Linked DNA regions of Diceros bicornis minor. The protein of the gene in region 1 interacts with the protein of each later gene in a biochemical or structural test. Links are inferred from orthologs where the notes say so. Each region holds a gene or a part of one and is shown in the gene's direction. Other genes may lie near its edges. The genes, in order: RAB6A, BICD1 and OCRL.

Region 1 (9,921 bases):
AGCTGCCAAAGCTGTCTTCTTCCATTGTTGCCAATTTTTAGTGATGAGATCTGTTCTGGGCATCTTTTTCATAAGTGATGTTAAGGAATGTAGTATCAACTTACATAACGTGATTTTAAGTGATGTTCTCTTTCTCCCAAATGCTCTTGCCTTTCCATCTCCACATGCCCAAATCTCATTCATCTTTTGAAGAAAGCTAAAAATGATCCCTCTCACTTATTTCATTTATTCAGCAAATATCTGTTCCATGCTTACTATATAGCAAGCACTCTGCAAGTGCTGGGGATACAAGACATGAGCTCTGACCTCATGGAGCTTACAGTCAGGCAGAGAAGACTGATAATTAATAATAATTAAGTGATGGGGAAGAATAGAGTACAATGAGAGGACAGGCATTACATTGTTGGTGGGGATGGGAGCAGAGAAATCTTCTTGAAGACTTTTTAAAGATGATACCTAAAGGATGAGTAGGAATTGGGGAGGGGGAGAGGGGAAAGTATTCAAGGCAAAGAGAAAAGTGTGTGTAAATCACAGAGGTGAAGATGTTGGTGAAAGCACCCTTGAAAAAAGCCTCTTTAATTTCTCCTTATCCCAAGTAATTTCTCCATTTGATGAACCAGACAGCACTAATATGCAACTTTTAGACCACAAGATTTCTGATGGCAAGACATATGATTTACACAGAGTACTCAATAGATATAAATGCAGCTTCAGAGGAGAATGAGGCTGTATATGTGTCAATGCAAAATGCCAGCTTAAAACACTAAAACATCTGAGGTAAGAGGTGGATTATATCACATCTCTCTTCAAAATGACAGGAATAGCATCACTTGTCTAGGTAACTACAGAGACCAAAGCAGCAGGGAGGAATTGATTCATAAAGTTCTGCAGGAAGTACAAGGTAATTATAGTTCCAATCCTCAGATGTTACTTTAAAGGTTATTTCAGGAAGCATAATGAAAACCTGGTACCCATCAGAAAGAAAAAATAGCCACTCACTTTTGTTTGCAAGAGCTTTTCTTTTTAAATGGTCTCTTGGTATTGGTTGCTCTTCGTGTGTGCCAGGGTTCTGGGTTACTGGTAGGGAGGGCCTTACCAGACCTGACAAGCTACTTTTAAAATCAAATATTTAAAAAAAAATCTAATGTCCATGTAAGAACTCAGTTTTTTACCATTTCATTTTAGATACATGTTCCAAAATCCTTTTGCCATTTGGCTGAGAGGAACCAGAAGTGAGTAAATTTTGATAAAGGAGGAGGTTTGGGGATATAGCAGTTGTCTTGATAGGCCAGAATAGATGATATTTTGAGAACCTCTATTTCTCCCCTTAATTTATTCTAATTCAGCAATTCATTCCCAGTTTTGAGAAGGCACTTGTTTGATCCCGCCGTTTTTACAGCTAAGTAAATAATAACCCCCAAATAATGAGAAAATGTATATAAATGTGTTTTGTGAATGGTAAGGCACTATATATAAACATAAGGACTTATTTTTTATTATCTTGGGAAGTATTTTTGATACCAGTGTTTAAAAGTGTCTTCTTCAAAGGCAGGGATTACTTTTTTGGATGCTGTCCCATTGTATGGTGAGGTGTGGCTGAAGTATGGCGAGGTGTGGATGCCAAATTCTCTAATTCAGAGATTCTTAACCTTTTATTTATTTCTATTTTATTAAGACTTTTTTTAAAAGTTTTAGATTTACAGAAAAATTGAGCAGACAGCACAGAAAGACCCCATATACCCCCTCAAGTTTCCTCTATTATTAATATCTTACATTAGTATGATACATTTGTTATAATTAATGGGCCAATATTGATATATTGTAATGAACTAAAGCCCATATTTATTCGGATTTCCTTAGTTTTTGCCTAATGTCCTTTTTCTGTTCCAGGATCCCATTTAGTTTAAAACTTATGTTCAGTTGTCATGTTAGTTAACATGTCATGTTAGTTACATCCACATTACACTTAGTTGTCACGTCTCCTTCAGCTCCTCTTGGCTGTGACATTAACCTTCACTTTTTGGGTCATGAACTGGGTTGAAAATCTGATGAAAGCTACCGATCCTCTCTACAGAAAAATCCACATGTTTCAGACGTCTAATTTAAGGGAGGTCCACCCATAGCAGATTCAGAAACCCTGCTTTAGGAGGCAGAGTGATCTTTAAAATATCCCCTTCCCCACACTTGGGCTCAAGTTCAGGCTCTACCTCTAATTTGTTGTGTCACCTTTTCGCAAAGCTGTTTTCCTACGTGGGCCTCAGTTTCACCATCTGTGAAATTAGGGTTTTGGTTTACATGATGTCTAAACCCTTTTCTAGCACAGTGGAAGGTGGGCGTCACCTAGAGTTGTCAATATCTGAGGAACAAAGGCTGGTAACAGAAGAGAAGCAGTCAGGCCAGGGAAGTGGATAGGCTTATCAATAGGAGGTTGCAGAGGTTCGATGGAGGAAAAAGACTAAAACCTGGGTTCCGCTTCATGGCTTCTTTGGATTTTGTAATGGATTTGGTAAGTCATTTCCTTCCTCTGAGCTTCAGTTTCCTCATCTGCAAAAACATAGAGGCCCTGCTTCTGGTAGTTATGAAACTCCTGGGAGCAGGAGCAGAGAATATATCTACTATGACATCGTGTGAGGAATTACCATAAGAAAGATGGATGGGCCAGCCCCATGGCTTAGCGGTTAAGTGCACATGCTGCGCTACTGGCGGCCTGGGGTTCAGGTCCCGGGCGCCCACCACCTCACCGCTTCTCCAGCCATGCTAAGGCCGCGTCCCACATACAGCAACTAGAAGGATGTGCAACTATGACGGACAACTATCTACTCAGGGGCTTTGGGGAAAAAAAGGAGGAGGACTGGCAATAGATGTTAGCTCAGAGCCAGTCTTCCTCAGCAAAAAAAGAGGAGGATCGGCATGGATGTTAGCTCAGGGCTGATCTTCCACACACACACAAAAGAAGATGGAGAAGGTGGGTGCATGAACCAGTGAAGGGCGGATCTAAGCAATGTGAGGCTAGGTTGAGGGCTCAGGAAAGAGTAACCTAGTAACACACCTTATAGCCCTCCGTCCACACCACACCTTGCTGCGGTCAATACCATCTCCATTTTGGCCCCGCCTCCGCCCGACCTTCCTGCCTCTCCCTTCAGACTGCGACGCGCCACACTTCCCATGGCAGCCGCCGTGTAACTCTGTCCTCCGCGCTGGTGCCGCGCGCGCTCTCGCGCTGCCACCTCACTCCCATCGCTGCCCACCCTTGGCCTCTTCCGATTGGCTCATCAGGTAAGTGACGTTAATGCTCCTTGTTCCACCCCTCACTTCCCGCGGGCCCCGCCCCACCTCCTCCTCGCTTCTCCCTACGCGAGTCGAAACGTAACCTGCCCTCGTCTGCGGGAGAGCAGGCTAAACCAGGAAGGCGCAGGCTGTGGCGCGCACGCGCACGCGCACGCACGCACGCTTGCACGCCGGCGGCCGGCTGGGCGGCAGGCTCGCGCCCGGGCTCGCTCCGCGCCGCACCAGAGGCTCGCGCACTCAGCAGGTTGGGCTGCGGCGGCGGCGGCTGTGGGAGCTGAGGCGCTGCGTGTGAGAGGTCCCAGACGCGTCTGCGGGTCGGCTCCGCCACCCTTCTTCCCTGCAGCCCAGGCTCCGTGGCGGGCGCTGAGACGGGAACGGCGCTAGCCTTGGGAATCCCGAGCACACCCCTGGCTGCTTCCGACACCGCCCTCCTTCCCTTCACGTCCGCGGGCCTCGCTCGGTGCTAGGCGACTCCGCGGTGAGGCGGCGGCGACGGCTGCTGATCTGTGGAGAGGAGTCCTGCCCTCCAGCCTTGCTCCGCCGCCGGGCCCTGCAGGGACCGAGAGAGCTCGGCGCCCGCCCTTCCTCTCGCCTTTTTCATCAACCGGTCGGAGCAGCGTCGGTCCGGGAGGTCTCTGGGCTGAGGCGGCGGCAGCTCCTCCGGCTCCATCATGTCCGCGGGCGGAGACTTCGGGAATCCGCTGAGGAAATTCAAGCTGGTGTTCCTGGGGGAGCAGAGCGGTGAGTGCGCGGCTCCCCCACTCTGGCAGCTGGCCGGCTTCCCCGCACCGCCCCCAGTGCGGCCCTGCCGTTCGCGGAGGCTCCCCGCCGGCCTCGCGTTCACGCGGCGTTCCACCCCCAGCCCTGCCCCGTGGTCGCCGGCTCCTCTTCGCCTTGATCCGCCGGTCGGATTTTGACCCTTCCGTCCCCGACTTCGCCGTCTCCTTTCCCCGCAGCCCGGCCCTCTCCCGTGGTTCTGCCCTCCCCTGGCCTCACCCCGCCCAGCCTCAGCCTCCTGTCCATCCCTTTCTTCCTCGCGTCTCCGTCGTCTCACCACCCCCAGCCCCCTTCCTTGATCCCCACCCTTCTTCCTTGCTCTTATCCCAGTTCATCAGCTTTATGAGCCCACCCCGGGAAGCCCCAGTTCGGAGAACGGGCCCTCTTCAACCTTGGGCAAGGAGGGTGGGATCTGGGCGTTGTTTTCCCCAGAGGCTCGGCCCTGAGAAGTGCGGATCTTATGGAAGGGGGAAAGTGGGGGGTCCTAGAAAATTCTGGGATGATTTTCACCTGGGTGGGGAATTAGTCTGAGTTGTAGAGGAGATATATCTGATTTGGAGGATGGAGTAGTTGGGGGGCTGGGGGCGGCGGCGGTGGCGATTTTTGCCTCTTGGGTTAGGCTGTGCTTGTTGTAAAACCTCGTTTTCTTCTCTTGACTTTCATCTCTGACAATTCTTTTGGCAGTGTTGATGCTTTTCCGATCTCTGCCAGATGCTATGTCATGATCATTTTACTTAGAATTTTTCACATCTCACCTCTCTTTTTCTCGTTTCAACATGAATCAGTGTCTGATTCTCCTCATGGTGGTGCAAACAGGAATTACTGGGGAAATGTTAATTATTCCATTTCTTCTTGAGTATTTTCCAATTATATATTTAGAATTCCTGTGAGAGAAGGCTTGAGAATAACGAACATCTTTGTTTTGTAGGATTTCCTTTGGGGTTAGGGAGTAATGGAGTAGAGTAGGAATAGATTTGTCATCCAGTTATCTAAATTAGATTTAAATATGTAATATCATTTTGAGTAAATGATTCTTTTATGCTTAATATTCCGTAGTATCTAATGAGTGAAATTGTTATTTCATTTATCTGGTCAGGCTTCTACTGTCGCTGTACTTTGTATTAGATACAAGATCCTAATTTTGTAATGGCTGTCTCTAAAATTACTTCTTGTGGTAATTCCAATTTTCTGCAGTATTATGCAAACTTGACACTCGACAATTTAGAGATTATCATCCTCCTTTGTTTTTCTCACACTTTTCATGACCATCTTTAAAATTCAGACATTGAGAGATGATGAGTTCCTCCCAAATCATCCAACATTGAGTTACCTACTAGGTGTCTTAGGTTAGGTTATAGAAAGCATTCGTTATTTGTTTTGGTTGGAAAGAAGATGATTGATATAAATTAAGAGCTTTTATTAGTGTCTTGAACTATTTATACTAATTTCTATGGCATTAAAGTGGGTTAATACTAGTTGCAAAATTGCTTCCAGTTGGACTGAGAAATTATTTTTCTCCTTTCATACATAATCTTTCCTGCCACCCCCCTTACCAAGGAAAAATATAGTCTCTTTGCTTATGAATTTTCCTGAAGGAAGTATAAACTTGTTTCTTTAAGTAACTTAGTAAGACCTATGAAGTTGATCCTGGTCCAGATATTTTATGGCAATTTCAGGACAATGCCATACATAAAATATAGCCTATTGGTCATTATTGATAAATAGGATCTAAAATGCTTATTGTGCACTCTGGGAATGTTATTGCCTGCCTTATGTTGTGATGCAGAGCTATTTAGTTTTCATGAAAAAATGCATTAATCTCTGTCTTAGGAAAATTTTAGTGTGAATAGAGATCATAAGTATCTGTAGGTTTCCTTTGAATTTCTTGAGCATTTATATTCTAATTCACATTGCAGAGTTTTTTGGCTTCTCATTTCTTACTTTGTCTTAACTAACTCGCACTCCCCCCGCGTAATTCCTGAAACCATCTTAGATTTTTTTTTTTGAATAGACTGTTCTTTAGAGCAGTTTTAGATTTAGAGAATAATTGAGAAGATCATGTAGGGGGTTCCCATATAGCCCCACCCGATTTCCCCTATTGTTAATATCTTACATTTGTTACAATTAATGAACCAATATTAAAAAAAGTCTATAATTTATTCAAATTTCCTTAGTTTCTATCTTTTTCTGTTTCAGCATTCAGTTCAGGATACCACATTACATTTAGTTGTCATGTCTTCATAGGCTCCTCTTAAATGTTTTTTTAGGATTGTATTTACATGCTTTTTAACTCTGTGGAACTGTAAGGTTAATTATCTTTTGAGATTGCTATATTGCTAAGTAATGCCGTCCAATAGCTTTGACAGTGAAAGATTGATCTCTTTTTTCGTGGGCAGTGTCTGTAGTTTTCTTATGCATTAGGAAAGGTCTGTAGAATCCATGTCATCTTGATGTAACTCTTCATGAATTATTTATTTTTTGGTTTTAGAATTCCACAGTTCAGCTTTCAAAGACTAATCTGTGGCAAAGCCATGGTCGTCTGCTTAATGGCATTTACCACGTTTATTATTCTTATTTTTTGTGTGTTTTGTCTATTTCCCACAGCAGAATGCAAGTCCCATGAAGATTAAAAACTATTATTTTTTTGTTCATTGTATCCCTAGTGCCTAGCATAGTGTCAGGCTTGTTGTATGTACTCAGATATTTGGTGAGTGAATGATGGTTGAATCTACTAGTAACCAGAGCTAGTAACCTATATTAATTTTTGCTATGGTGAAGTCTGTATTTTTTCCTTATGCAATTAGTAGTTTAACAACAACATTCTCTACTTACATTGTATGCAGGGATACTCTAGATACTGAGAGTAGGGGCAGGGAACCCAATAATTTATAGCCCTCACCCATTTCACTAAAAAAAAATAAGACTGACCAGGATTTTGCACTTTTTTTTTTTTTTTTGAGTTGAGCAAAATTAGTCTTGTCTTGTTAAAGCTATCGTTAAATTATTTGTTATTGGTATAGCACCTAAAAGTCTGTCAAATGATACTAAAGACATGTTCCTGGAAGTGATTTGAAGTTGGGTAGACTGCTTTATGTAGCATATCAAAAACTTAAGATTCTGTATTCAATAACGAAGATGGGTTGTTTCAGTACAGGAAACTTGAGATTGAGTTAATGACATCAGTCTTGGTAATCTTCCTATAAATTTATGCTTTCTTTATATTTCAGTAGTATTCGTGGTTTAACAAAGGAGTGTTGAAATACACAATTTGAATCTGATGTTTCTTTGAGGAATCTCTTTTGTAACTACCTCTGGCTATTGTCTTGAAATGCAGAGGCACTTTTAGGAATGTTATTCATGGTTTACAGTAGAAGATATTACTACAAACAAATGTTACAGGTTACAAATTAGGAAATGTAATCTCAGGGGGAAGTACATTTTGGCCTATTATGGCTTATTTTTTCACTTTATATTACCTTTTTTACATCAGTTCTTTTGAATTATAGCATGCTAGGTAGGGAAAAAATGTCTTAGTGTCAGAGACTAGGAGTACTGAATAGTTTAGATTGGCTAGCTCCATGATCTTAAACTTTTTCTTCTCGAGATCCTGTTATGCTTTTACAAATTGTTGAGGTTCCTAAAGAGCTCTGTTTATGTGGTTTATGTCAATATTTACTGTAATTGAAAGTTAACTGAGAAAATTTTAAAATATGTAATTCATTTAAAACAATAGTATTAAACCTGTTACATGTTAACATAATCATTTTTAATGAAAAATATCTGTTTTCCAAACAAAAATTTAGTGAGAGAGTGGCATTGTTTTACATATTTGCAAATCTCTTTAATGTCTGACTTACTAGAAGACATCTGGATTCTTATAGCTGCTTCTGCAATCAGTCTGTTCTAATAGCACACATCATGTAGGCTCTGGGAAACTCCACTGTACACTCATGAGAGAAGGAGAGTGATGTACACTCATGAGAGAAGGAGAGTGAAAAAAAACAAAACAACATCTTAATATTATGAAAATAGTTTTGACCTCCAGGAGGGTAGTCGATGACCCCCACCTGACAGGTGTTAAAGAACCTGGGGGTGGGTGGACCACCCTTTGAGAACTGCTGGGTTAGGTGATATAAAGCCATTTGTACTTGCAGTTTCATATTGCAAGTTAGGACAATCAAGGGGAATGTTTTCCATATCTAGTTTTGAAGCCTTAAAACTAAACAGTAGAGCTAGTGATTAAGAGCAGAGTCTGAGTTTCATATGGTAGCACTGGCCACTGACCTGGAGCAAATTATTTGACCACGTTATGCCAACTTCCTTATCTATAAAATAAAGATAATAGGACCTATCATATAGAATTATTGTGAAGATTAAATTAGTTAATAAATGTAAAGTATTTAGAAGAGTGCCTGTCACATGGGAAGTGCTCAGTAAATATTTTAAATTAACAAATGTTTACTGAAAACTGCTGCTCTGTCAAATGGATTTGTTTACTGAAAACTACTCTTAAGAAATTTACATTTCATCAGGGAAGAAATATGTAATACCTAATACAATATAATGTGATGAGTGCAGCTGCTTTGAAACATAGAGTTAAAAGGTACAAAGAAGTGACAGGGAAGCCTGGAGTTTCAGGGAAGGCACATTATAAATATGATTAATAGTTGAAGCATTGTTGAATGGAAATTTTTGAGCGTTCTAAAGTTGGAGGAGACTTTGAGAAGTCTAATCCATTTCTCTCAGGGCTTTAAATGGATCATTTTTTCCCTCTCTAACTTTATTTTTAATAGATAATACAGTCACATTTCACAAATTAAAATTATATAAAAAGGTATACTCCGAGAAAAATGGCAACCCCTGTCCCTGTGACCCCGTTCCCCACCCCAACTCCTCCTCCGTTAGTAATTATATATATTAGTTTCTTGTGTATATTCTGGGATTTCTTTATGCAGACACAAGCAAATATGAATACAATTTGTTATTCTCCCTTACATAAGATATATCAGACTTTATTCCACTTCTTGCTTTTTTCACTTAACAATATATCCTAGATATCTTTTCATATTAGCACATAGAGAGCTTTCCCATTCTATTTTTTTTGTTTTTAAATAAAATTTTTGTTTTAGAATAGCTTTAGATTTACAGAAAAATTGCAAAGATAATACAGAGTTCCCGTATACCCTACATCCAGTTTCCTCTGTAATTAACATCTAACATGTACATTTTTCACAATTCATGAACCAGTATTGATACATTATTATTAACCAAAGTCCATATTTTATTTAGATTTCTTTAGTTTTATCTAATGTTTTTTTTCTGTTCCAAGATCCCATCCAGGATACTACGTTTGATTTAGTTCTTGGATCTCCTTAGGTTGTTCTTGTCTGTGACGGTTAAACTGGACCGTTCTTAAGTTCGTCTTACTCTTAAAAATCTCCAGGGGGGCTGGCCCAGTGGCGCAAGCAGTTAAGTGCGCGCGCTCCGCTGCGGCGGCCCGGGGTTCGCTGGTTCGGATCCCGGGCGCGCACCGACGCACTGCTTGGTAAGCCGTGCTGTGGCGGCGTCCCATATAAAGTGGAGGAAGATAGGCACCGATGTTAGCCCAGGGCCCTCTTCCTCAGCAAAAAAAGAGGAGGATTGGCGGATGTTAGCTCAGGGCTGATCTCCTCACAAAAAAAAAAAAAAAAAAAAAAAAATCTCCAGGAAAGCACATTTTGTAATTTTTGATATCAAACTTCCCTGTTCTGAAATTCTCAAATCTATTCCCTTGCCATATAGTTAAGTTTTTCTTCATGAGGAGGCAATATATAGTGATAAGAAAGCTCTAGAGACAATCAGGTTTTGGTTCTGATC
Region 2 (9,921 bases), on another chromosome or scaffold:
TGGTGTGAAACTCATTTGCCTTGGAAAGTAGTTTAATCTGTGAATATTTGCACTTCAAAAGACTATGTTCTGGGGAGGGCAGTGGCTTAGCGGTTAAGTGCGCGCTCTGCTACTGGCGGCCTGGGTTTGGATCCCAGGCGCACACCGACGCACCCATTGTCCAGCCATTCTGAGGCTGTGTCCCACATACAGCAACTAGAAGGATGTGCAACTGTGACATACAACTATCTACTGGGGCTTTGGGGAGAAAAAGGGGGAAAAAAAAAGGAGGAGGATTGGCAATAGATGTTAGCTTAGGGCCCGTCTTCCTCAGCAAAAAGAGGAGGATTGGCATGGATGTTAGCTCAGGGCTGATCTTCCTCAAGAAAAAAAAAAAAAGACTATGTTTTAAGTTGAGATATAATTGACATCTAACGTTATATTAGTTTCAAGTGTACCACATCCAAATTCCTTAGTTTAACTTGCAAGGCAGGCACAATCCTTGACTCTCTCTCCGGTGGTGCCTGTCTCTTTAGTGTCATCTCAGGCCATCTCCCCTTTGCTTTTTAATCCTCAGCCTCTGATTTTCATTCTCTGCACTCGCCACACTCTTTTCTGCCTTAGGCTTTTACACATGTTGTCCATCTTCCTGGAAAGCTCTTCCCCCACGTTTTGCATATCCAATTCCTTCTTATTTCTTAGATACTAAGAGTGATACATATCACTGCTTCAGAGAGCTCTCCACTGATAGCCCTGTTATTTCTTTTTTTCAACCTCAATCTTATCCTTGTTTTTCTTCAAAACTTGTAAAAACAAACACACATACTGCTTATTAGGTGTCAAATAATGTCCTATTCACAACAATCTCACTAGTAGATGATGTTATTATTCCCTCTTTAAGGATGAGGCAACTGAGGCACAGAGGGCCAGTAAGTGGCAAAGCTGGATTTGACCCAAGCAGACTAGCTTGTGTGCTTAATCACTATGCTGTATCCTGCCTGTCACTGCCACAATCTGGAATTATTATATTAATCTTTGTTGTTGTAGTTTGTTTTTTTGTCTGTCCCTCCCAGAACATAAGGGAGGAGATGTCCCTCCTTACGGTCAGGAACCCTTGACCACTCTCATCTTATTGGTCATTGATTTCACAATGCCCACTATTGTCCCTAGGGCATAATGGGTACTTACTAAACATCGGTTGAATGAATGAATGAATGAGTGAGAGCAAGAGAAAGCAACGTTCTTGCTGACAAAGTTGGTGAGAGGTTTGTTTGAGGTACTAGGTCACAAAATACAATTTTTCCTAAATATTTGTATGTAAGAAAGTTCCATAAGTGATTGGAGGCTGCTAGGATAAAGAAATATGAGGGGACCATGCTTCTAGGAATGGTTTAAGAAATTATTTTCTAGATACTTGTCATTGATACATATATATATATACACACACATATATCTACACACACAGACATATACGTATGTATATATGATATGTATGACATATATGAAGAGAGAGAGATAGGTGAGTATGCAGTGCAGCACTGGAAGAATACGGTGTACAAGGAGATAAGTTTACTTTCATCAAGTTAAATACTAACACAGAGAGGATCAAAGTTGTACTCAGCAAAATCTTAAAGTGTTAGAATAGTGAACACGTCTGAATGAAGTCAGACTGAATAAACTAACAAAAGTGTATAAATCAGAAAAATGGGGCAGAATAGAGCATAGGGAACGGGCGACAATGGACACAGAGAAAGGAAAGTCACAGAGGCAAACTCCATTCTTAGTTCTGTCCAAAGGAAAGGGAGACGCAGGCAATCTGCTCCAGGTGTTTGGATCCCTTGGGAAGGGCTGTGTTTACACTTTGTGGAGTGAGGACCAGGTGCATACCGGGAAGAAGGCAGTTTAGCTAACTGCAATTACAAGTTTCATCTCTTTTTCAGCAGTTCATGGTCATTCATCATTGTGCAGAGGATGGGCACTACAGGAGCACACAGAAGGGGCTTGTCAATTGCAGTGTGAGATCAAGGCAGCACAGGTGGACTGATGTGGTCATTATCATCCCCGCTTCTCTGCTAGGTTGGAATTCATGGTGGTCGCAAGTTTCAAGTGTGTTCTCCATTCATTCATTCATTTATTTATAGATCAGATAATCACAAGAGAATATTCTGTTGTCATTGTCAGCATCTGGAAGGAATCTTTTTTGTCTGTTTCCAGAGGCAGTGAAAATCACATCCAGAGAGCCTAATTAGTCAAGGCTTTGTAAGGTCATTGTCATTTGCTCTTCCTCCCACACCACCAGCAATTGTCTTTTTTCTTTACCACGTACAAAATGATGGGAGAAGTGAGTCCTGCTCTCTAACTCAGAAAGCTTGTCTGCGTGTGTGTGTGTCTGTGTGTATGTGTGTGTGTTGAACACCTCCTGGCCACTAAGAAACAGCTCTGTCATAAGTGCCACCCAGGAAAGAGGGGAGGAACTGGCCACACCCTTGGTCTGTTGCTCCCACAGCCTCCCAGTTACACAGATATTACTCTTTCTCCATTCCTATTGCTTCCTTTCCTCTTGGTTGTTCTCTAGTCTCATCTCGTCTCCATTCTTTGTTCTCCTTTCCTCTGACTTTGCCTTCACCTCCTTTTGTGATACTTCATCATCACTCTTTACATTGATTAAAGAGGTCATTTTACAAGCATATAATATTTAGTTGCTGGGTTTGTATTAGTAATGAATGAAGGTGAAGCCAACATAACTGATCCAGTTTAGGGCTCTGGAGCTAAGGTTACATTTTGCCTTCACCACTTAAGAGTTGCCTGACTTTGGGTAAATCACTCAACTTCCCTGTGCCTTTCTTTCACCACCTGTAAACTGGGGATAAGGGTTCCTACCTCAGAGTTATTGTTAGGATGGGAGAGAATGCGTGTACCATACTCAGAAGAATGCTTGGCACATGGTCTCAAGAACTATTAGCTCTTATTATTTTAAAAATGTTTATTGTAGGGTATTGTTGATACTGTATATAGGGAATTGCATGCAGTCTTCTTTTATTGAAGAATCCGTGGAGTAGAACTACTGGGGCAAGAAATAATGGTATCTAGAGGCTTACTGGGGGCATGCTTTAGAGAGATCTTTTTCTGAGTAGAGAGAGTGATCTTGTGATAAACTGGGCACAGAAAGCGTGGATGAGGGCAAGGGATCTTTAGCAAAGAGTGTCCTGAGGGGGTAATAAGGTTAACTGGTGAGAGTGTGAGGTGAACCAGGCCAAGCTAGGAAAGGGGGCGGGGGAGGGAGAGGGAAGACCTGACGGAAACCGGCGCCTTGGGGCGCGTCTGGATGGCTGTGGAAGCACAGCGTTTGGGTGCAGGAGGCCAGGGAAGGACGCTGCGAGCCCGGGGGGCGAGAAGAAGGATGCGCGGGTCCCGAGCGCGTTAGTTACTGTTTGCTTTTCTTTGAGGAAGGCGCCGATTCCAGACAGTTTCCTGAGCTTGGGCTCACGTCGGAACGAGAGAGCCGGGGCGCCCCCGCCACTCTCGAGGGCTTGGACGTCCATCAGGGCAAGCCCTGGGAGAAACTTCCACCCGGGGCGAGCGGGACAGGGCAGAGGCTTCCTCCTCGCGCGCGTCCCGCGCGCCCCCCGGTGCAGCCAGCGGCGGGGGCCCGCGCGCCGGGCGGGAGGCTCCTGGGGATGTTTCCGTCTGATCCTTGCCTCCTCCCCCGCGCTGACTCCATCCGCCTCCCCGCCCCCCGGCTCGGATCCCCGGCCAGGCGCGACGGGAGGGAGCGGGCCCGAGACTGCATCATTCCGCACTGGCTGCAGCACGGCCAGAGCGAGCAGGTGGAGCGAGCGCGCCAGACCCTGGGGAGACTGCAGTGACGCTGCCCGGGAGACATGGCGGCCGGGCGCCTCTGAATAAGCAGAATCCGGAGCCCCTCGCCGCCCCCGGCCGCCGCAGGCCAGGCCATGCCGAACGGCTGCTGACCGCACGCAGGGGCCGGCCCAGAGGACACATGCGGCAGCAGCTGCCGCCTCGCCCCTGATCCTCTCCCTGCGTTCTCCATGTTGCATTTCTCGTCAGTTTCTCTGGCACTGTAGCTGCTGCTGCCAGAGGAGCGTCAGGGCATTGCTCTGCTCATTCATCCAGCCACACTTTTCTTTTCCATTTTTACCCTTCCATCCCCATTTCCTTCTCCCTTCCCCTGCCTGCTTTGCATCCATCTCCCCCACCCCATCACCCCCTCCTGCCTCCATCCACCGGGGCTATGGCCGCAGAAGAGGTATTGCAGACTGTGGACCATTATAAGACTGAGATAGAGAGGCTGACCAAGGAGCTCACAGAGACGACCCACGAGAAGATCCAGGCTGCCGAGTACGGGCTGGTGGTGCTTGAAGAGAAGCTGACCCTCAAACAGCAGTATGACGAGCTGGAGGCTGAGTATGACAGCCTCAAACAGGAGCTGGAGCAGCTGAAAGAGGTGAGTTGCCTGTCACCTCTTTCCTCCTCGGCCCCCGTCCATTCCCCCCACCCCCAACGCCCACTCATCATTTATAAAGAAGTCGCAAGGATGCTGTTGAAAGGCCTGTTTCTTCATGTTAGAGCCCTTTGTTGATAACAGAAGATTGAAAGAGTCCATTGTTTTTCCCCCAAGAGAAAAATTGCCCAGGAAATGAATGTATAAGCTGGAATTTGGGAGGCAAGGGCTGTTAAGGCTGTGGGGGAGGGAGATTCATAAGTCTTCGAGACTCAACACTCTAAGGCGACATTCAATTGGGCTGGAATGTATAATTCAAACTTCTCAAAACTGCTGTTATTTCAAACCCAGGTTTCAGTGACAATCCCGTAATCCACAAAGGTGATGGGTAGGTTGGTGCCGAGGACCCGCAGTTTCAGGATGTATAATCTGTGGTGCCTCAGCCTTCTGCTGAAGGTAACTATTCCTTGATGAGAGAGAGAACTGTGATTAGAACTCCTGGCCAGTCCCAATTGACAAAGGCTGGGCAGGCTTCCTTCTCCCTGGCTTGAGTTATTCTTGTCATCAGGCTGCAGGAGAAAAACAACTCTGCTGAGTGATTTCACCTCTGCCTTGATTTCACCTTTGAGTGAGGCTGGGCCTTGCTCAAGACTTATAAGGTCACCCTGATCAGGGAAAATTGAACTCCCCTACAAATGGTCTGAAAAATGGTGTATATCAAATTTGTGGGTAGCTGTGCATTTCAAATGAGGCTCTTCTGTTTGAAATGACTATGTTTATAAAACCAGAGCACCACACATGGGCCATGTATAACATTTGTCCTCTTTAGTCTTTTGGTATCTGGCTTCTTTTAAAGACTGGCTAGTGTACTGGAAGAAAATAATAAATATGCTTTGATTTCCTATTAAGCACTCATATAAGAGTATACATATTGTTGAAGGAACTCAGTCTGTTTTGCTTGATTCCTGAGGCACTATGGGTAACATGTAACCAGTTATAAATTTAAATGTACACACTGCTTTTCTATGTGGCAAGTCTTTATTTTTAGGTGCATATTGGCATTTTAAATATTAATTCTAATTTGGTATATAATAATATCAGAAATGTTTTTCTTATAACGTACTCAAACTGTTTTTTTGGGGGGTGTCTCGTGTTGTTACAGTTAAAAAGCATGATTTATGACATATCTAATCAATTTGCCTTCTAGTTTAGTACATAAATGGTAAGCATTTATAATTTCAGGTTCATTTTGTTTTTATTCTGATGCCTAAGTGCCAAAAAATAAATATATGGTAAAAACTCCAACTAGAAATCTGATTTTTGTGTATCAAGCTGTAAATTTCTAGCTCATGTTTTTCTTACCATGCACATGTCTGTTCTTAACAACAGCTAGACTTATTGGTATTTTCCAATTTTGATTAGGTCTTAGGCTGATATGTTTAAATTCAATGATGCTAAACCTTGTGGAGTTAGGAAACAGGATGGTGATTGCAAATCTCAGAGATATTTTGATGTTGTCTGCACCTGTCAGCACTGCTTTACCAAGACGAGGAAGTGTAAACCAGGCAGTGTTAAGCCATCACCTCCTTGATAAAGGAGGTAGACTTAGTTTAATGAACTGGAGTATAATTGTTAACTGACCTTCCTGCTTGATTTAAACAACTCTTCTAGGTATATTTCTGTGTCATTGGCACTTGCCCTAAATAGTAAACCTTAATGCAATTTCTTTTGCCTTTACTAGACCATGAGCTCTTGAGGCAAGGAATCTGTCTTAATTTACTTTGCATCCAAAGTCTTTAATACAAAGCCTAGCACATAGTGAGCCAGCAGTAAATATTTAATGAAATAATAAATTTATACTGGAAGAAGACACGCCTTTATCAAGCTTTCACTAGTCAATATGGGTTAGTGTCAGAGAAAGACTAAGAAAATTAGGAAGTATGGGAAGTGACTAGTATTTAAAAACTACTTGTATTACTTTCATCAGCAATAATGGGAAAAAAGAGAAAAAATGTTTTGTAGGAATAGTATAACATTGGTTTCTTATTACGGAATAATGCAAATACCAATTATAAATTTTTTCTATAAAAATTTGAAGCATATTTTGTTTTATATAACAGGAGGTTAATAAAAATTTAGCAGGATTATTTTTACCAAATGGTGCTTGTTTACATGTGTGTTTTGAGTTGCATTTAGCCTAAATATAATTCAATTTTGGGTCCCTAATTGGCTTATACAATTATATAAAAATATATTTTAGGGTAATAAAATAATCATTATACCTGATGATTTGATAGTGAGACCTGTTATTTTGATCCTTTAAACATGATATATACTTTAGTTGGGAGTATTATTTCAATGAGCTAAATCAGTCTCAGTAATACTTCCTGTTTGAAAAGTAAATCCAAAATAATTATGCACACTAAGATATTCCAATGATGATATCGTGTAGAAGCCATTTTTGAAAAACACGTTTTGTGAGTGCTCTGATTTTTCAAAAGGAAGTTTTGTTCATTTTCAGGTATATATAGTAAACAGTGTTGTTGCATTATATCTATTAAGCCATGTATAAAAGAAATCTTTGGCTTTTTCATAGGCTCTTTCAACAAATAGGATCCATTTAAAAATAATTGGATCACTTATGGAAATGTCAACAGAGAAACACTGTATTAAGTCCAAGTTGGACATTAGTAATTTGCAGAGTAGCAGCACAGCTTAGTCTTTACAGGTCATTTCATTTTCGAGAGTCAGCACCCAACCATGTGGCTGCCCTCCTTCCCAGACTATGTACCACTATGACAATAATACAAATGAGCAGGGTTGCCTGAAGATGTGCAAAATCAGGATGATGAAGTCATTAATTTTTTTCTAGTTATGTCTTCCCTCAGTCTGGATGCTTTTTGGCCTGGCCTGCTGTCACTCAGGGCTCTGCCCTGTGCCTACACGACTGCTGTAATTCTGCTCCCTAAAGAACACACTCGAAAGAAAAGTACTTAGGATCTGACAAAAGGATGACTTCTGACATCATCATAATGTTCTCCTTTATGTTATATTTAGGCAGCTGGACAAAGCAACATATCCACTAGAATACTTGACCACGGTTTTATGGGCTCACAAATAATGCTTGCTTTTCGGTGACTGGGGCACCCCTGCCCAGTTATGTTCCTGGCCTGGCTGATTGTAAGTTTGGGATATGTGTAAATCAGCACGTGTCTGTCACCCAGGCCATGATAGTGTCTGAAGAAGAGTCATGGTTCTAAAATAATTTGAAAACTAAAAATATACATACGTTAAAAAAATACTCCGAATTTAAATTTTTTTTACTTAAAAAATGTTTGAAATTTAAAATGTAGTAAAGTTTAAAAGGATCTCCTTAGAAACGAATGATTCAGCATTCCTGGTAGCATTTTAGAAAACATATCTGTGTGACAACTTTAGAAAGTTTTGCAGCTAGGTTACAGTAAACTATGTACTAAGAATCTTCAATTCATTTTCTCATCCCTGACGCCAAGGATAGACATCAGCTGCGGAAGAGGCACTTTCTGGGCGTAGAGCAGCTTCTCCTCCTGAAGACAAATTTTTGCTTTTTCAGGGCTGTAGTTGCATCATTCAAGAAATAAACATTGAACTTATACACTTTTAGAGATGGTCACATTAGGGACCTGATGAAAGCCATTTACTTGTCTGGATTCATCTTTAAACAGAACTAATTTTCTTTCCTTATATGCTTGGGAAGATTATTAGCTTCTTTATCTCTGTAAATTCTAAATCATGAAATCATATGGGGAAAAAGAACTCCGGATTTCTTTTCCAATCTATGAATAAACATAGAGAAAGTTAGTACTTAATTTATTTACCTAAGCTAGTATTTTTTTCTCTCTTATTGTTTTTAAAGAAGAAATGATTATATTTATTATCACATTTATTAGCAAGTTAATTAAAAAACTAAAATATACCAACAAATGCTTTTGGAAACTTGACAAACAACCTCAGCAAACAAACATAATGACTTTCAATCACATTTCTTTTTTTTGACCCAATTGCTCTAACTTGCATCATCACTTCTTTTTATTTCAACTCAAGATTTCATCTCTGACAGAGCTATTTCTCAGATATCATTTAGCAAGATTTTAGAGTCTTTCATGACATTCACCATGTTTGCGTGAATGATTGCAGCCAGGGTTTGAAGATTTTTTCAGAATTTTGTGCTTACAAATATTCTACACTATCATTTTCTTAAATACGCTTGTACTTTATGGATATTGCATTCCACATTTGAACATATGATAATTACTTGCATGTTGAAATATATGGTAAAGAACTTTCTCACACATAAGGTTGTACGTGTAAAAATGGCTTTGCAGGAGGGCATGAACAGGTGCATAGTCTTACTATTAAATAATTCATTACACTAAGGGAGAAGGGATGTAAAGTCAAGTGGCAAGAGATGAAATTGAGAAAGTGGCAGTGGCCACATTTTTTTCTTGGGGATGGGGAACCATTAAAAGGAAATGAAAGGAGACACTTAGTAACTGTGTTTGGCGCCTTACATCTTATCTCATTTAACCTTCAAAGTAACTTAGAGGCTTATTGCCCATTTTTACAGATAAGAAAATAATAAGAATAATAAAACATTGAACTATGTACGAAGCTCCGTTTAGGACAAGGCGCTTTGCATGCCTTATCTCTAATTCTTATAACAATCCTTTACAAGGTAGATATTACTCGAATTATACAGAAAAGTAAAGTAGGTCTTAGAGAGCTTAAGGATTCTTCTGAAGGCTGCAAAGCTAGATGGTGAAACCTGGTTTAGGAAGAAGCCCATTCTTCATTGCACCATACTACCTCAGAGGGTGAATCATCTCAGCCAGAGCCACAAGTGCAATTTAGAAGGTCACGGTGTTGGTCACAGAGGGTGAATTGAAAGCAGTGCAGGAGCAGTGGGGCTAGTGAGGAGGCGACAAACCTAAGAGCTATTTAGGAGGTGTACAGTGGAACATGGTGTTGGATGTGACTGGATGTGGAAAGTGAGAAAAAGAGTAGAGTCGAGAATCTTCTCAGGATGGATAGAAGTGGTTCCATTCACAAAGGAAGGTACTATGGGGTAAGGGCAGTTTTAGAGGGGAAGGTTGATGGCCAAGTTATAGGAGTCCTTGTAATTCATGTTTTCTGTGAGGGGAGGTGTAAATTGTGTGATAAATTCAAATACCTCTCAGTTTAACAAAACAAATGAATAGTTTGTGCAATTGGTTGTCATTTTATTCAAATATAATTTCCGGAATATGGAAGATATGAACAATTGAACAATGTTTTCACCAATGTCAGTTTAATTACGTGCTGAATTAGATGTGCAAAGGAACAAACAAGGGGCTGGGCTGGCACAGTGAGGACCCCGAGGGCAGCCTAAGTGGAAAACTAGCCCTTGCTGACCTCCTAGGTTAAGAGGGCTGGGAGCAACAGCACTCACTCCTGGCTGACTG
Region 3 (9,921 bases), on another chromosome or scaffold:
TCCCCAGCCTCACTTATGTTAAGCAGGCCTATTTTTGCCTTTGCAGGCCCTAAGCTCTCTAGCTTGTGAAGGCTTCAGCCAGCATCATATTAAACATATTAAAATGCATCCACATCTTGCATTAAATATTTATATTTTTGCTATAAATTTTTGAAAGGGCTTTTGTAATTTTGTTCTTGAAATTATTTGTCTGTGCATAACTAATTTAATTTATAATGGCTGTGATTTCTCCATAATCATTAGGCATACTTGGAAATTCTTGGGAAGTGAGAAGATCCAACCTAAAAATTGTTTTCGATGACAATGGTTTTTAAAATAAATATGAAATTTAATAATTAATCACTTTGATATGTTATATTTTGTAGCCATTTAATTAAATTATTATTATTTTTGAGTTTTTTATTTTCTTTTAGTGTTTTATAGTCTCTTTTTAAGATCTCAATTTTTTATTTTGTCTCTAAAAAGCCAATAAGTCCTAAGCACTTAGTTATAGTTGTCTAATGGATAAAAGGCACTGAGCACTCATTTAATCATGTGCGCGTGTGTGTGTGCACACGTGTGTGTGTGTGGTGGTGGTGGTGGTAAAGGTGGTGAGACTTGTGTTTGCTTGAAGCTAGAGTTTCATTCATTTTAATTTTGTTCAGTGACCATTAACTCTTTGCATTGGATGTCTCTTGTATGTGTAAATACAAGTATAGGACATAAGACCTTTATTTGGCTAGGCAAAATACCGTCTGATGATGATAGGTGAGAATGATCAGAACTATATGGTAAAAATTTACTATAGAATTGACAAAACTTGGGTTATTGGATATCATAGGTAAAGGAGAAGCAGAGTTCAGGATAAACCTCAAGTTTCAAACTTGGGTGACTAGTTAAATAGTGGTATCACTAAGAACAACAGGTAAATCAGAAAGCAGTTGTGAATAAAATAATTTTTAGCCAATTTACAAAAGTGACTTAACATGTACAGAAGCACATAAGTAAGCATAGTCCCTGAAGTGATCCCAAAAAAGCAGATACAATAATTTGCCACAGAATCAGGCCCAGGGAAATGATTAAATTAGCCAAGCTTGCCTTCCTCCCCTCTGCTGGCCCTAGGCTGAGGGGATACATATCTTTACCCAACTTAGACTCCAGGGTCAGCTATTTCAATGCATCCTAAACACCACTTTAGACTCCCTCGCCCCATGACATTCTTCTCTGCCTGCTGTACTAATTCCCAAGCCTAATGCACTTTTTTGGTAGATTTTCTCTACTCCTGCTTTCCATCTGCCAAGCATTGCCAGAGAAAGTTACAGACCCATGCTGATTTGGACCACTATAGAAATGCACACCATCTGCCTCCAGGTGGGCTTTCTCTGTTGCTCTAAAACCCTTTATTAACTTTTCTGGATTCACTGTCAGTCTCCAACAGTGCCTGTTCTCTCCTTCTCTGCCTTATTCAAGTTCCCAAACCCTCTACTGTTAACTTCAATTTCATCAGATTAAATGTGATAATTCAGGTAGAGCAGTTACCATAGTGCCTGGCACATAGAAGGTTCTAAATAAACACTTACTCTTACTACTGTTAATATTGAATGAACAGCGTAATGTGTTAGTTAAAATCCTCGGGCTTTGGAGTCAGACAAACATAAGTTTGAATCCTGATTCTGCCATTTACTAGCTAATGGGCAAAAGTTGCTAAACCTCTCTGAGTCTCAGTTTTCTCATCTTTAAAGTGTAAACAATAATATTACTACTTTACAGGGATTTCGTCAGGATTAAATGAAAGTATGTATGTAAAGCCATGAGGAGAGTGTCACATGAATATTCAGTTAGCCACCAGGATTATTATTATTGTTATTACATACACTTATTAATTTTTTTTGAGAAAATCATCAACTACCCTGTGAGAGTTTCTCCACAGTTTTTAGTGTCCTCACCTCAATACATTTCCATGTCTTCACAACCTCTTATGCTTTACAACAAATATTTGAGTACCCCACTATATGCCAGGCACTGTTTCAGGTGCTGGGGATACTGTAGACTTGGACGAAGAACTACCTCTCCTCTTCTCTAAGGTTGATTCCTCCATCTGCACCTTGGATCCTTGTCCTTCCCAATTACTGAGGGATTTTTCTTGCAACCTTTCTGCTTCCCTCTTCTAGTACCTTAAATGTCCCCCTCTTTGCTAGCTCCTTCCCGTTGCTTTAGAGTAACTTCAAGTTTTGTCAAGAATTTCTCTTTAACCCTTCTAACTAATTTAGTTAAAATTGTATTTCACTCCTTTTTGCTTCCAAACTTCTTCAATACGTGGTCTCTTGTCTCCATTTCCTCAGGATACAGTCCCTTCTCAATTCCCTGTCATCTTGTTTCTACCCTCACCAGTTATTGAAACCACTTATTTAGCAGTCTCCAGTGAACTCCTTGACACATCCAAAGAAAGTCTCTCAATCCTCATTTTCCTTGTCCTGTTTTCAGCATTTGACACAGCTAACCCTCCTCTACGTATTATTTCTTTGTTTTTCACTTTCATTGATTACAAACAATTTAAAATGCAGGAAAGTACATGGAATAACATAACCCATATATGTACCTACCACCCAGTTCTATCAAATCTTGCAACATCAATTTTCAGATTGTTTTTAAAGAAATAAATATTACAGATACAGTTGATATTCCCTGTATTCCTCTCTCCAGTCTCAATCCTCTCCTTGAATTTGGTGATGATCATGCCCTTTCATGATTTATATACTATTACTGTTATGTATATCTATGTAGCCATAAGCAACAGATAATATTTTCAGACTTTATATAAACGGCATACCGTACATGTTTTGCAATTTTCTCTTTATGCTTAACATTATATTTTTGAGATTTAACTCTGTTAATACATATAGCTTGTGTTATTCATTTTAATTTTAAAATAGTATTCAACTTCATGAATACCATGATTTATTCAACCATTCACCTGCTGATGGACATTTAATTTGCTTCCATTTTTTTGAGATTACAAATAATGCTGCAATGAACATTCTTTTACATGACTCCTTGTGCACAACAGTTAGAATTTTGCCCAGTCTGTAGTTAGAAATGGAATTTCTGAAGGGTATTACCTATAGAACTTTATTATACAATGTCAAATTGCTCTTCATAGTAGTTCTACCAACTTACACTCCTTCTAGCGGTGATCAGAGGTCTATCTGTTCTACATCCTCAACAACACCTGGTGTTGTCTGAATTTTCAAATTTTTAACCAAACCGATGGTTGCAAAATGGTATCTCATGGTTTTAATTTTCAATTTCCCTGAATAGTAATGAAGTGAAGCATCCTTTCATGTCTTTACTGGCCATTTAGGTTTCCTTGACTATGAATTACTTACTCATATATTTTGTCAATTTTTCTACTAGGTTTCTTTCTCATTGATTTATAGGGGTTTTTGCACGTTCTGGATACTAATTCATTCATTTAATCAATATTTTTATAGCATCTACTTTGTTTCAGGAACAGTTCTAGGCACTGGGAATGCAGCAATGAACAAAACAGACAAAAATCCCTGCCCTCATGGAACTTACATTCTAGTGGGGAAAAGTAAACAATAAACAAAATTGATAAATAAAATAGAACAATGATAGAGATATATCCTCTGGAGAAAAATAAACAGGGAAGAGGGATAGGGAGCATGTGTGCATGGGAGTGGGAAAGGAGATTGTCAAACTTCAATTTTAAATAAATTTGTCTAGGAAGGCCTGACTGAGAAAGTGACATTTGAGCGAAGATCTGAAGGAGGTGAGAGTGCAGACAGAATGAACAGCATGTTCAAAGTCCCTGAGGCAAGAATGTGTTCGGCAAGTCCTAGGAATAGCAAAGAGCAGTGTGACTACGCAGCATGAGTTGGAGAGAGTGGTGGGAGAGGATGTCAGAAAAGTGATGATGGCAAGAAGTGTAGAACCTCAGGCTATGTTTGTCAGTTATATGCATTGAGAATATCTTCTACTAGTCTATGGTTTGTATTTTAACTTGTTTATGTTGTCTTGAATTTTAATATAGTTAAATGTATCAATCGATTCCTTTATTTTTGTGCTGTCTATTCATTTTCATTCCCTATTCCAAGTTCATAAAGATATTCTATTTACTTCTAAATGTTGTCAAGTTTTGCTTGTTACATTTGGATCTTGAATCCACCTGGAATTGAATTTTTCCTCTATGGTGTGAGGTAGGGATCTAATTTTATAATTTTCCATATGGATTATCAAGAGTCCCAGCACCATTTAGTGGATAATCCACTCTTTCCCCACTGATCTGAAATGTTGCATATGCTGCATATCAACTTTCCATATATGTGTGGGTCTGTTTTGCGGCTCTGTATTCTATTCCATTGGTCTGCCTAGCTCCATACCACACTGTCTTAATTACTATAGGTTTAAAATCAGTCTTGATAGCTAATCCATTGTAGATTCTTGAGCAAATGAAAAACACAATTGAAATGTTACTCTGGGAAGACTATTCTTATGACTTATGTCATAAATCATGTGCTTAAGTTCCACTGCCAAACTTATGTACATATTCTTATGTAAAATGGTCAAAGGGGATATCACAAAGGCTAACAAAATGATGGCGGTGTCAATGGAGAGAAAACAAGGAACCAAAAATTAATTCCAAAGAAAATATTAACAAGGTTTTTTGACTGATTGGATACAGAGAAATTAGGAGAGAGGAAGAAAGGTGACCTAGAGGGGGCGCAAAAGAAGGGTAAAGGTCTGAGATTTGAGGACTTTTCTGATTTAGCGGGTGAAAGGAAGAGGAAGGGGAGAACATCTGAGAGGTAGGATAACCAGCACGGTGCATTATAACCATAATAAGGATTTTTTGAATGGATGATGTGGGTCTTATTGGCCCAACACCTTTGAGTTCCCTCATAGGTATGACTGTGTTTTGTTTCTGTGGCAATCTTCAAAGTCCCCAGAAGAATTTTGGTGTCACAGGCAGCATTTGAAACATATTCCTTGCTGGACATGGTTGAGACGCCCCCGTTCCGTCGGGTCTCTCGCTGCAGTTCCGCAAGTTGGCCGCAGGGGGCGGAATCCGCGGCGGCCTGGAAAACTGGCGGGGGCGCGAGGCGCCGCTCTCTCTCGGGTCAGGCTCTCGGCTCCCGGCTCCCGGCTCCCGGCGCGGAGCCGTTCCTCACACGACGCGCAGCCGAGGCGGGTGGCTGTGAGGACGGGGGACGCAGAGTCGTCGGATCCGGCCGCAGTCCGCAGTCCGGCTGAGCCCGGAGGCCGCCCGGATGGAGCCGCCGCTCCCGGTCGGAGCCCAGCCCCTTGCCGTATCCGCCCGAGAGAAGGGGGAGGGGAGGCCGCGCAGGGTGGGGGGTGGGGGTCGGAGAGATTGCGGAACGCGGCGCAGGGATCGGGGGCGGTCAGGCCCAGAGGCCGAGCCGAGCGGGGGAGGGAGGCGGGCGTGGGAGGCAGTGCCTCGGGACCGGGACCGGGGCGGGCAGCGGGGCGAAAGCCTCCCTGCACACCACACCGCGCCACCCCTCCCTGGCTGAGCTTCTAGAAGAGACCCTTGACTAGCGTCCGCATACTGTCGAGGGTATGGAGATGAAGGGTCCTCTCCGGGAGCCCTGCGCTCTCACCCTAGCCCAGAGGAACGGGCAATATGAGTAAGTAACCACCTGATTCCCACAGAGGAGGGGAGCCTGCCATTACCTCGCAACCGCAAACCGCGACAAGCCACCCACCCTCCTCCCACTGAGGCCGCGCGGGCAACAGGTTCAGGCCAAGGTGTGAAGTGCAAGTGGTTTAACCACGGGTCTTTGTCCCCAACTTCCACGCTGCTAGATTTCTCCTGGCAGTGTTGCTCAGTGGAAAGACTCAATGGACGGGGAAGCAGGAAGCCTGGGTTCTTTGTTCCTGCCCCTGCAACTGACACATGTTGTGTAACCTTGGGCAAGTCAATAAAGCTTTCTGGGCCTTAGTGTCCTCATCAGTTAAATGAAAACATTAACTAACTGCCTTACCTTATAGCCTTTGGAGTTTTAACTGGGAGAATAATAAATGTGAAAGTGGTTTACAAAAAGTAAAAGTGCTATGGAAACGCTTCATTAACCTTATGTTAGTGCCTTTTCTTAACCCCATTCAACTGGTTCCTCCACTCTCCCAACCCCTTTATTCCACTTGCTTGAAGGCATATTCATTAATTCAGTAATGGTTTAGTGTAGGCTAGTAACTGCTCACTTATTGACTTGACTGTTAGAAAAAGTAATGAAATATGTAGAAATATAAACGACATTTGCCATTTTATCAGTGTGTGTTAACTTCCACTCTGCCTTGCATGCACATAGGAGCTCAGTAAATACTGTTGGCTGATGGATCAAAAGATTATTTTGATAAGCTATCACTATAGTTACTGATCTCACTCCCTTGCAACTAATGCCTCATCTTAAAAGTATCCATGGTGACCACTATATATCATAGGCCCCTATCCTTGTGTGCCCAAGCCACCTCCTTTGGTTGTTCACTGGTTTCTTGACATCAGAGTTTAAAAATTGTTGATCACTTAAATCCTGTCATCTTCCAACATTGGATTCTGCCTAAAAACAATTTTTCTCGGTTCCCGCTTTTAGTTTGTCCAGACTGAGTCTGTGTCTATGCTGTCTAATTTACACAGAAGAAATTCCCACTGGCCTATCCTGCCCTTTTCTAAGACTCTTGGTGCCTCTAACTGGATGTCAACTGATTCTGTGAAGTCGCTCTTCCCTAGGTCCTGCTTGGTCAGTTCTGTTGATGTGGGAAACTCATATTATGTTTCCCAGATTTCATCAAACCTTGAAAGACCCATTTAATATAAGTGAATTTAACAGAAAAGTGAATTGAAAAGCGGAACACCGCTGCGGCTTCCAAAGGCTAGAATGGGATAGAGAGATGGGACCCTTGGGCAAATCAGTAAACTTTTGTGCCTCAGTTTCCTCTTCTGTTAAAATCAAAATTATGAGGATTAAATAAAATAGCTACATTGTTGATATGACCATAGCTTGGGATCTGGTCCCTTGGCTCAGTATATTTGGAACTCTGTTTAGCTAATAAGGGAGTGAGCAATTGGCCTTGAGATAAATACCTCATTCTATCTGGACTCTTGTACTAGAACTTTTAAAGGGTGGTAGCTCTCCTGACTATTTGTGTCCTCCTCACAGAGAAATCAAATTCTTTTGTTCCAACTCTTTGTAAGTTATGGGAGTACAGCAACATCTAACACTTAATGGCTTGATGTGTGCCAGGTATTCTTCTCACCACTTTTCATGAGTTAGTTCATTTAACCCTCATGTGAGGGTTATTGTGAAATAGTAATATCATCGTCAACTTCCTTTTCTAGATATAGACATTGAGGCACAGAGAGGTTGTCACTTGTTCACAGTTAGGAAGTAGCGTAGCTGAGATTTGAACCCATGTAACGTATCTCAGGATTACATTGTCTGAGAAGTTTCTTTTGAAATCATCGGAGTCACCTAATACTGTCGTACCATCTATAATCCTGAAATTCTTGTCTCTTGGGTGCCTTCTCTGACTTGAGTGTCCAGAACATTTTTACTTTGGGCCTTTTTTTTTTTGTGAGGAAGATCAGCCCTGAGCTAACATCCGTCCCAATCCTCCACTGTATATGGGACGCCACCACAGCATGGCCTGACAAGTGGTGCATAGGTGTGCTCCTGGGATCCGAACCCGGGCTGCCAGCAGTGGAATGCGTGCACTTAACTGCTAAGCCACGGGTCGGGCCCTACTTTTGGCTTTTTTATCCTAGAACTTGAAGCCTATTTTAATCTTTACTTCTGTGGTTCCTGCTATCAACCATAGGAGAAATTTACTTGAGAGACCACCGTTACATTTAAAAATTGGTTTTTTGGAAACAGGGAATCAAACACTAACATTCATTTTTTTCAAGGAAAATGGATTATGATGCAACCTATTGTTTCATCTTTAACCTTCCTTGAACAAATCAAAGTATTTCCTAAGGATAATGCTGAGTCTGCATTCACAATTTGTCACTCGTTTCTGTTTGACAGCTACCAAATTCTGATTTCCATTGTTTTGCCATATACCTATTATTTTTCATCTTTCTGTTCTGAAAGGGATGATTACATTTAGGTAGAATTTGCATACTTAGTCTTAGCCCTACTCTCTTGCTACAGTTTATTTAGTGACTAAGACATAGTAGATATTCAATAAATACTTGTAGAATTGACTTAAATTCACATTTTATCTTTGTTTTGTGATGGTTTTTTTGGGGGGAAGGGTGCATTTCTTTTTTTTACTGAGATATAATTGACATATAATATTAGTTTAAGATGTACAGCATAATGATTCAATATTTGCATAGATTGCAAAATGATCACCACAGTAAGTCTGTTTAATATCTATCACCACATGTAGTTGCATTTTTTTTTCTCATGATGAGAACTTTTAAGATTTACTCGCTTAGCAACTTTCAAGTATACAATACAGTATTATTAACTATAGTCATGTTGTACGTTACATCCGCATGACTTATTTATCTTATAACTGGAAGTTTGTACCTTGTGACCTCCTTCACCCATTTTGCCCACCCCCATCCCCCACCTCTGACAACCACCAATCTGTATCTGTAAGTTTGGTTGTTTGTTTTTATATTCCACATATAAGTGAGATCATACAATATTTGTTTTTCTCTGTCTGACTTACCCCACTTAGCATAATGCCCTCAAGGTCCATCCATGTTGTCTGTTTTGTAATGGTTTTTAACAATACAATCCATTTGAAGCTTTACTACTAATGGTTAGCACCATTGTTAGTCTACATTACTTTGAGATTATACTGGTTTTGTGTTCACTTTCTTCAAAGTAAATTCTTCCTCCTTGACCCTTGCTTTATCAGCCTTTTATCTAGTTTCTGGTCTCCATCTGAGTTTATAAGACTGCTCGATTAAGGAACTTTGCAGGATGGAGGGGTCTGCCCCATATTCCTCTAGTCACCTTAAAATATAAACCCAGCAGATTAGGCAAGCTGGATCAGAGCAGAAAGACAGCATTAATACTCTTATTTCACTTAGTTCTGTCTAAGCAATTCCTTTCCCCAGGTTATCTCCTTCAAAGTTAACACATTTGAAAAAAAATTCAAAAAGCTAAAACAATAAACCACCCAAAAGACAACAAAATAGAAATCAAATGATTCAAAACAATGACATTTTTAATGTCAGAAGTTGAACTGTTGTATTTAGAAATTCGTCTCTGTTTATAGCTTGATTAACCTAGTTTGTTTATTCAACCTGTATTTTGAGCAGCTGTTAGGCAGGAGACAAAACTGAATATTATAGGGTCCTTGATTTCAAGGAGCTCAAATCTGTGAGGGAAATAAATATAACTATAATGGAGTGTGTAAGTACTCTATTAGAGGGGCAAGCAAAGAGGATGAGGCCCACTGGTTCTGCTTGGGGTGTTGGGGGAAGCTTCACAGAGGAGGTGATATTTGAGTTGGGTCTCAGGAAGTAAAAAAGAGTGTTCCTGGCAAAAAGAACCACCTGAAGAGTGCTTGATTTGGGGGAAGCTAGGAGATGTTCAGAAAGGCTATTTACCCGTAGGTTATATCTTGATTCCTGGCCACTAAGGATAAGAAGTAAATGAAAATTAATATTTCAGGAGTACATAGGAATTTAGAAGCCTCACATTTCGTACTGAGGGGCCAAGTTCTTCAGTCATGTTTACCTAATAATACCAGCATGAAGTTGGAAACCAGAGTAAAAGCACAAGGGCTATAAAGGCAATCTGGTGATATCTGCTACTTTGTTGGTCACTGGGGTTGTTTTGACCAATGCAGCTGGCTGGGAACCTCCCCTTACTCCTCCATGACTTGTATACTTGTTTGAAGAGATAGGACCATTCTTTGTTAAAAGCCAGGGAAATATAA

Evidence for each region.
Region 2: the proteins of RAB6A (region 1) and BICD1 form a complex in vitro, tested with the Homo sapiens proteins (3 studies listed by BioGRID). The link is inferred for Diceros bicornis minor from reciprocal best matches to the Homo sapiens genes RAB6A and BICD1.
Region 3: the proteins of RAB6A (region 1) and OCRL form a complex in vitro, tested with the Homo sapiens proteins (2 studies listed by BioGRID and IntAct, with this or other methods). The link is inferred for Diceros bicornis minor from reciprocal best matches to the Homo sapiens genes RAB6A and OCRL.

Annotation. Positions count from the first base shown.
Region 1 is NC_080746.1:57,119,038-57,128,958, forward strand, and holds the start of RAB6A (ras-related protein Rab-6A), read left to right. Parts: upstream 1-3,515; 5' UTR 3,516-3,959; coding exon 3,960-4,029; intron 4,030-9,921. UniProt on the Homo sapiens protein: The small GTPases Rab are key regulators of intracellular membrane trafficking, from the formation of transport vesicles to their fusion with membranes.
Region 2 is NC_080756.1:31,699,179-31,709,099, reverse strand, and holds the start of BICD1 (protein bicaudal D homolog 1), read left to right. Parts: upstream 1-3,703; 5' UTR 3,704-4,231; coding exon 4,232-4,444; intron 4,445-9,921. UniProt on the Homo sapiens protein: Regulates coat complex coatomer protein I (COPI)-independent Golgi-endoplasmic reticulum transport by recruiting the dynein-dynactin motor complex.
Region 3 is NC_080781.1:118,336,564-118,346,484, forward strand, and holds the start of OCRL (inositol polyphosphate 5-phosphatase OCRL), read left to right. Parts: upstream 1-5,132; 5' UTR 5,133-5,270; coding exon 5,271-5,309; intron 5,310-5,568; coding exon 5,569-5,648; intron 5,649-9,921. UniProt on the Homo sapiens protein: Catalyzes the hydrolysis of the 5-position phosphate of phosphatidylinositol 4,5-bisphosphate (PtdIns(4,5)P2) and phosphatidylinositol-3,4,5-bisphosphate (PtdIns(3,4,5)P3), with the greatest catalytic activity towards PtdIns(4,5)P2.